Linked DNA regions of Solanum lycopersicum. The protein of the gene in region 2 binds, or shares a complex with, the protein of the main gene of each other region. Links are inferred from orthologs where the notes say so. Each region holds a gene or a part of one and is shown on either strand. Other genes may lie near its edges. The genes, in order: DNA-directed RNA polymerase II subunit 4 and DNA-directed RNA polymerase II subunit RPB7.

What was found.
Region 1: DNA-directed RNA polymerase II subunit RPB7 (region 2) and DNA-directed RNA polymerase II subunit 4 share a complex: the UniProt entries of both Arabidopsis thaliana proteins name them as parts of the RNA polymerase II complex. The link is inferred for Solanum lycopersicum from reciprocal best matches to the Arabidopsis thaliana genes NRPB7 and NRPB4.

The regions. Positions count from the first base shown.
Region 1 is NC_090805.1:48,101,557-48,105,968, forward strand, and holds DNA-directed RNA polymerase II subunit 4, read right to left. Parts: upstream 2,966-4,412; 5' UTR 2,870-2,965; coding exon 2,701-2,869; intron 1,765-2,700; coding exon 1,656-1,764; intron 1,352-1,655; coding exon 1,274-1,351; intron 1,163-1,273; coding exon 1,129-1,162; intron 1,029-1,128; coding exon 960-1,028; intron 453-959; coding exon 375-452; 3' UTR 88-374; downstream 1-87. Other genes in the region: E3 ubiquitin-protein ligase RHF2A, read left to right, coding at 4,075-4,206, 4,285-4,331. UniProt on the Arabidopsis thaliana protein: DNA-dependent RNA polymerase catalyzes the transcription of DNA into RNA using the four ribonucleoside triphosphates as substrates. Second largest component of RNA polymerase II which synthesizes mRNA precursors and many functional non-coding RNAs.
Region 2 is NC_090805.1:844,961-849,511, forward strand, and holds the start of DNA-directed RNA polymerase II subunit RPB7, read right to left. Parts: upstream 2,958-4,551; 5' UTR 2,648-2,957; coding exon 2,532-2,647; intron 2,437-2,531; coding exon 2,271-2,436; intron 1,108-2,270; coding exon 1,057-1,107; intron 1-1,056. UniProt on the Arabidopsis thaliana protein: DNA-dependent RNA polymerase catalyzes the transcription of DNA into RNA using the four ribonucleoside triphosphates as substrates. Component of RNA polymerase II which synthesizes mRNA precursors and many functional non-coding RNAs.

The DNA.
Region 1 (4,412 bases), about 47 Mb from region 2:
GTCACCAGTACTACAAATTTTCCATAGATTGATTCTCGAGGTCACCTCTTGACAGAGAAAAAAGACCCTCAGGACCCATAGCTAATATTCCGATCAAGGTATGCTCTTATTTGTCTTTCACAAAAGCGAAACGACAAACCAGGTATGTCATTACAATGATTTAGCCCGTGCACCAAAGGATTGTGGTTACAACCAGCTACCAAAAAGAAAAAAAAGGGTCCAGAGAGAGTTTTCTTCTTCAATCAACAGATAAAGTTTTCAACATAATGCCAGAGCCCAATTAGCATTACAGAGCTGCTACTAATAAACATATGGAGGTACAGGTTCGGAAGCAGAGACTGCTGCAGCATAGCAAGACAAGCACTATAATAGGACTACTCGAATTTCTTTATTAGGGAAAGGTCAGTTAGCATTTTCTCAATTGCTTCCTCGTCAAGTGCACGTCCTCTATTCTGCAAGCATGGAAGGGGTGTCAGTTAGCCGGAGTTTATGAAAAAGAGTAACAGGAATATATATAGCTGGATGATTAGACTGTACATTTAGGGAAACTTTGAAGATTCAAACTGTCGGTGCATTTTCTATAGACTTCCTTTAGCCTTATGGTGAGATATTACAATCACACACTGATGTACAAGCAACTCTGATTAGATTGGTGTTATGCCTTAAACAAATGAGACAACATGGTGAAAAGATGAGGGTCAATTTCATACACCTCCAAAGTACCAAGACTTTTTTGGCAAAATATTAGACTTTCCAAACCAGCCACCTCTGGATGTCAAATCCCTAGAAGGACCAAGTAAGACAAAGAAAAGCTCCCTAACAAGTAAAGAAATTGTTTAGGATGCCTATTTGAAGCATTTTGGGTGTGTTGTTTGAAATTATGAAGTCCAGAAAACTACAACTCTAGATATCTGCATACAATCCGTTCTTATGTAGGGTTGAATAGCATGCATGAGTACCTTGATGGATGGGACCATGGCAATACCTTCCTCAACAGTTTCGGGGCAAAGATTCCCAAGAACACAGAGCTGCAAAATATTCAAACTTATAAACTGCAGTTTCCACGAAGATATTGATGGTGGTTACAAGTATGAAACAAATTAGGAAATTCAAAGAACAGATTCCTACCTCGAATTCAGCAAGTGGATACCTACTAAGAATTCTGAATCAAAGTTAAGGTTTACATTCTATAAAAGGACTATTCATTGTAAATTCATAAATATCAAAAAGAAATACAGAAGTTTTTCAATCTAAGCCACAGGCAGGAGGATACTCTCGAGCTTGTCTAACAGCATCAGGGTTCTTGTACCGACTGAAACGCTTCACATATTGCAGCGACTTTTCAAATACCCTGGAAGTCAAAGGTAACCAAATTAACCAAACTTGAGAACGTGACGCCTATGCACAGGTTATCTCTTCAAAATAACATATTTAGATGTTGAAAGAGTAGAACCATATCAGTTTGGCATAATTTTCCTTAAGAATATTTCTTAGCATTTTGCCTATATATGAACATGGAAATTTCACAAAGTGGTTGGCATGAATTGAAAAGTTGATATGGAGGAAGACAACTTATTTTGTACAGGTAATCCAGCTTGTACTTAATATCTGAGCATTTAATGACATAAAAGGAGCATCTAGATTTATATACATACTGCGAAATCTGATTTGTTGGATCATCAGACATCTGCTGGATCTGCTCATACTTGTGTTCAAGAATCAATGCGACTTCACAGTTCATTAGACATTTGGCCTTCAAAAACTCTGAAACCAAAGTACCAAAAGATGTTAATGAACTTCATCAAGAGAAGATGTTTGTATGCATACAAACAGTTAAAAGACTAGAGACTTTGCACAAGCTTTCACCATGAGTAATAGAGATAAGCTGGAGGGATGACAAGGGAGGGAGACCCAATATTGTCTGGGTAGGAAATTGTATGTTCTCAAATAGGGAGTTTTATTATAGACAGACTACCTATAGAACACCAATCTGTAAATTCTTCCTAAATTTCATATCTCAAGGAGAACGATGAATGCAACACCACTAATCCAATCTCCCTCCACTTCATGCCTCAGCAATAACCTCTATTGCCCGAAGCCCTCAACAATCCATCGAGAAACTTATATGGACAGCTGAAAACAATTCTGAAGTAACTAACCAAAGATAAAAAAAAAAAAAAAGATGCTCATCGCGATACATATGCTAAATAGTTAAGTTAGCCATACAGTGAAGCTAGGCAGTTTGAAGTGACTAAAGTCTATTAATGATCACTACATATGAACAAAAAACAGTCTTTTTCTTGATCCAGAAAAAATCAAAATGTAATATCAAGTCTATTCTCATAGACATTAAATCAATAAGAAGAACCATATGCACCATATAGTAGCATCAGCCAGTTAACTATCTTATCCTGCATTACATTATTAAAAAAGAGACCCTAGAACCAATCCCAACAAATTGAGAAAAAAAAAAACCCAATACTACACAACCCATTATAGGAAAAAACAAAATCTTGATGAAAAAACTTGACTCCCCCTTGCCTTCATGGTTAAAAAAAGAAAGAAAAAACCTATTTTTATGAGTACATTAAAGAAAAAAAAAGATTTTTTTAAGTATAAAACTCAATTTCCAGAACGTTAAGCAATTCATATAACAAAGAAACCGATTCATCAAGTGTATTAGAGAGTAAACTTATTTACCATCGCCAATTTTGAGCTCAGCGGCGTTTTCTTCTTCTTCCCCAGACATCTTTGTACTAGAAAAAATTGCTAATTGAAGAAGCCAGACTACTATATAAAGGCAAAATTCGAGAATTCGGAATTTAGGTTTATGTCCTCGAATTTTATTATAATTATAATTATGCCCCATAAAAAATAATTTTTCCTTTTTAAAAAGAAGTAATAATGCTAAAAAAATTAATTCACTTGACTTAAATAAGGACCATACACGATCAATAAGATTATGGCAATAAATGTTTGATGCAATTATCATACTTAAATTTACTTTGAATTTTATCGTTTTTTTAAAAAATAATGATCAATATGATTAATTTATTATACTAATAAAATAATACATAACAATTTTTTTGATATGTCAATTTTTTTTTTTTTGACCAACTAAAATATTGTCCAAAGTGTTATTTTGGGCTCAGTCCTCGAAAGAAGAAAAAAAAAGGAAAGAAAGAAAGCATAAATAAATAAATAAAAATAATAAAGAACAAATAATCAAAGGGAAAGTTAAAAGTCTTCTTCTTCCTCTTTGTTCTTCCACTATTTTCATTTCTGTGGTTTACCTTTCAAAACCCAAAATTCTCCTGATCAACTTATTCTTTGATCTGCCATATTCATTGAAGTTTCTTTAAGGTAAGTTTATAGTACTTGTATGGTTTTGTAAAATTGATTAATTTTACTTGTGGTGTTTGAAATTGAGCTTCTTTTACTAATTGGAGTACTGGTTGGTTGGTTACTTTTTTTTCAAAAAAAAAATCTATTTTTTCTGTTCAGATTTTGTTTATCTGCGCGATTCTGATGTGGGTTTCAATTTTTTTTAAAAAAAAAAATTTGTCTGTAGAGTGGTTTGAGAAGAAGGGATAATCTAGTGAAACTTTTGAATTTGTTATATGGTTTTTTTTTTTATAATAGAATTGTGGTGGGGGTTTCATTTAAACTTTTTTCAGTGCTGGGATTGAATTGTTATTCAAAGCTTTGTTAAATGAACATGGAGATAGTGGGGTTTAGTCTCCTATTTGTTATTCTTTGAGCTGCTGTTGGATGTTTATTAATCAATTGTGAAGCTCTTACCGGAGACCAGCTAATCGGTGAAACAGTTATGGCTATGCATACCGTATTAAAATGAAACAGAGAGCCATTGTTTTGTCTCTGTAGCATTTGATTCTCACCTGTAATTAATTAGTCATATTGCCAGTGAAAGTGAGAGCAGGTAAGGTAATTATTTGGTTTCGAGGGACTTCGTTTGGTTTTTGTAAATTGGCATGTGATTAGAAGTAATGCTTGTTTGCTTTTTGCTTTCTTCATTAAACTTCAGTGATGTTTTAAGGTTTGATCTTTTGACAGATGGAGGAGGGCAAGATGTCTGAGGATATTTTAACTTCGGCTGCGGCATTTGTGGAAGGTGGAATTCAGGATGCTTGCGATGATGCTTGCAGCATATGCCTTGAAGCATTTTGTGATAGTGATCCTTCTACTGTACGTATCGTTCACATATATGTTACTATGGATGGAATGGGCTCTATCATCGAGTAACATAATGTATTAAATTTGCAGGTGACTGGTTGCAAGCATGAGTTCCATCTTCAATGCATTCTTGAATGGTGATCCAAATGATTCCCTGTTAATTAAATATCTCAAGTCTAAACTGTTCTTTTCACTTATCTCTATGATGCATAATACCT
Region 2 (4,551 bases):
TCACCCACACTATCCACCAGGTACTTTCTACCTCCCACCAGCAGAGTTGTAGGGTAACTCTTCCCACTCAGGCATAGGCAGATAAGAAGAAATCATTCCATTGTTTTTTGCAGATTTTGTCTCTGCGTGGATTTGAACCCTAGTTTCAAAGGTCTGTATCCACTTAGTTAACCACTAGGCCACATCCTTTTTCCTCCGTCGGAATTCCTACCACCACTAGTGACTAGTCATGCATACACCTCTTAAATAATCTAGGAACCAATGAAATTCACTTAAGGTGACAAACTCAATACAGTTTAATTATAAAAGGGTCTAACTTGAGTTCCATGAAAAATTTGATCCTAAGCATAACAATCAAGGACTATTTAGATTTGGCAGAGTACTTATGTAGCTTGACAAAAAAAATTATTTTATTTATTGATAAATTAGCTTGGTGGAACATCTAACAAGTGCAAATGATGTTGCTGAGAATCACACGAGAAATGTATATGTGTGTGTGTATATATATACACACCCAAACACACTGTAGACTACTTAGCAGTTATGTAGATAATCTTAAACTAGATATTCAAATCAAGCTAAAGCTAATATCATATGAGAGACTACCCATTTTTGAATTCTAGATTCCTTCTTCATTCTTTTATTGGAATTATAACACGTTAGAAAACAGAATAAGTTTGATATATCAAGGTTTGTTGTAGTGATGGAAACCTACGGTCCCAACCAATACATTAAGAGTTTGCATCATCAAAGGATTTTCCAAATCAAGGAAAAATAAACACAAAAAAGAAAATGTAGAAACATATATGAAGATTGAACAAAAAATCTCTTAAGAATCAACAACTACCTTCCTAAAAGAAGTTGATTTTCATGCTTTTACAATAGATATGCACGCAGAAGACATTTCATTAATATATTTCTAATCAGTACATTTCATTCATGCAATCTTGCATATAGCAGAATGAGCTTTTAATATGCCACACTAAGAAAATGTCGTGTATGTGTGGGAACGAACACATGCTGGATTAAATATTTAAATATGGAGAACAAACTCACGTGATTTGAGACAAAAATCTGCACAGGCCCTGCTTCAGCAAAAAATCCCATCTGCAATATACCACACGGATAAATATCTTTAGGTAGGGTAGATGGAGAAGAGCTAACTAACATTAACCAATCAATCAACTACAACTCAAACCTAAGGAATCAGACTATATATATGAATCTTCTAGATCCATTCCTATACATTCAGGCCCACTTTATTCCTAACTTGTAGTAATCAATTTTAACTTTTAAACCAAATTAGAGGTTTTAACAAGACTAACATTAATGCAATGAAAAAAACTTTCCATGCAAAAGTTCCATATGCAATATTCCACAATCATGAAGTACCCAAAATAGTTCCTGATGGGAGATTGTCTGGTTTTATTTCTGCAGTTCTCTCAGAACCACAGCCGAGCTACTCAGCTATCGCAAAGCAAGTTTTAGCCACGTTTTTCTTGAAATCAAGACCACCACCCATGCCTATTTATTGGCATTGTAACCAAGACAGTGAACCAGTTGCAGCAGATTCTTTGTGGATTATACAAATAGATACTGGTATCCTTTAAAAAAAAGAAAAAAGACCAGCTCTATGTCTTGAAAATACTATGTGTGGCAGGCAATGCAGTTCTTATTTTCCTAGAAACCATGTGTCCTCTTAGATTAACCTTTCTTCTGCAATGATTCCATTCTGGGATTCCGCGCTTCGAAAAGTCCTTTTTGATGCGTCAGTTCATCAGTTACTTCTATTATAAAGTCAAAGTATCTATAGATCAACCTATCAATCAATCACTCATAAAAAAAAATTATATATGCCTATCAATCCCTCTAAATCTCAATCTCAAACTAGTTGGATTCAACTACTCAATTCATTCTCTACACGAACCCATTGAATCTTCCTTGCTATATCTTTCCTTCTCGATCTCTCTTATTCTCAAAATTCTCCCCTTTCGTACATATTAGCAGGATTATTAACCACCTGTCTCTTATCAGAACCTTTTTTTCTAAAACCAAAATTTCCTACAAAGAAGAGAAAGTAAATTTTCGTTGGAGGCAAATTTAAAGTTAGTTTTTCAGAAGATTGCTGCTATTCCAACTCCAACCACTGTAAAAAGGTTTGGATACCAATTTCGATAAGCGAAATTCAGTTGAATTCTGTGTAATTGCTTAATCTAGCGAACACACAGAAGCTAACAGAAATGCAAATTAAGGGGGGGGAAAGACCTTACCTTGTTAACCATGGTGACAACAGCTTCCAAAATCTCACCTTTAAAGGGTCGAAATACAACACATTGATACTTCACTGGGAAAGTAACAAAACCAGTTCCATCACGAATTAATCCTTTTCCAACACTTTCAATCCCAGTAATCGCCACTATAAAACCATGTCGACCACTGAACCAAAAAAAACCCAAATTCAAAATTTTAACAACATTAAATCAATAAGAAACAGTGAAAAAAAACGAAAATTAGGGTTTTATGAATTAAACCTGCAAGTTCCTTCTACATCTTTCATCAGTTTTGACACAAGTTTTTCACGAAGATCACGACCAAAGTGACGAGGATGAAGCTGCATGTTTCTCTCCAATACAATGTGGAAAAACATGATTGAGGAAGAAGAAGAAGAAGCTACGTTTGTTGATCCAAGTTGAACAAGTGAAGCTTATGAACAACGGACAGAGATTTATATATAGTGGGCCGCCGGGTATCTCAACAATTGGACCAAAAACCTATTTTATAGACCAAAGTTTATCTCCTAAAATTTTTAGCTAATTATTTCCTAATTTAGCTCTTAGATTAGGTATTTTTTTTCGTAATCCTAATGAAGGACCTTACGTCTACTATCTAACAAGCATAAAGAAAATAAAACCTAGAGAGGATTAAATGTTTTCTAATCACTGCAGAGCTTGTAATATACTTCATGATGATATTTCAAATGAGTATGCTTAAATAATATAAATATATATCAGCTTCAAACTTTCTGTTACAAACGCATGAATTAAAAATGATTGATTGTCCGTCAAAAATAACTTGAAGTATTTTTTTTTGTATTCTTTTTCAAACCTATCCAACAACACTTGATAATTCGTACTCTCTTTATGGATTTATCGGATTTTACTGAACCTATTGATACTGTCAAATGGTTCTATTTTGTCTGCCGCATCCGTAGGTGCCTTGGAACAAACTCCTCAGTCATTTTACTGTCCCAATTGTGTTTTCTTACATGTGTCTTCTTTTTGCTTTTGTTGCTTCCACTTCTTTGTCGTCTAGGTGATATATATCCTTCCTTAACCACTCTATCAAAGCATATGTCCAGCATATCTTCCTCATGAATCCTCGCTCAAATTAACTGTATTTGACACTAAGGCCCTTGACTTATTCTTATTTGCAACACACATTTAGGCACAAATATGGAAGCTTCTGGACTTAATTTACTATTCAAAGTAGGTGGTGAGACCTTTTTTCTTGGATCAAATCGTTGTCATGACTCTCTACTAACTTTACTTGCTTTTCAATAGTCTTCGATAAAGCATCAAAGTTATTCGAGCATAATAGGTCTCTTGAGGCATTATTAATATCTTGCATCTTCTCACTGTCATGAAAATTTCTAGTCGCATCCTTTTCACTACATGGAAAATTATTTTGACTAGTCGGAAAAAGGCTATGATTAATAATTGAATTTTTGAGTGCAACCATTGTCCAATTTTTGTCGCATTCTTGATTTGAACTTGCAAAACATGTTGTCCAGAATTGTCGGCATCTTCAATATCAGATGTATCCATTAGTTTGTGTCCTGAATACATTATTTTTTACCTGAACCAAATCGCGGCGCATCAACCCCAATTCTTGGCGTTCCTTTTTTGCTTTTGAAAGTTGTTTGAATACCAATATTACTTCTAACAACATTCATTGATTGTGCACGGTTTCACTCAAAAGTGACAGTAATCAATTATCAATCTAAAGAAATAGCTTTACTTTGATCGACATCTACAACCTTTCTTTTTTCATTTAGTATTTATCTTGCATCACTTTGATACTTTTCACTATCGATGGTACCTTTTGAAGCAACTTCAATGGTATCATCAATTTGTTAGTTATCTTGATTTCTTTTCGAGATCAACGATAGCTTTCTTCATCATGATCTTGGTGCTTACAATAATTGCAATACTAAGGTAGATTATCATATACAATCTCCTTAAAAATCTCGATCAACATCTCAGATTTTCCATCCATAAACTGCAATCTTATACGATTTGGAAGTTCTTCCATTAGATCAAGTATAATCTTGACTCTAGCTGTGCTAGGTCTTGATTTTATTTGAGTAGCTTTATCTATAACTATTGGTTTTCCAACTACCGATGCTATAGATAGTAGAGACTTCTTTACAAATAAATCTGGAGATAAGTTTGGTAAAGAAATTCAAACCACATTTAATGTTGTTTTCTTCTTAGGATTATATTCAATGGATCAAGAGAAACCCCTATATTGGTGCTCCTCTCCATTTTATAT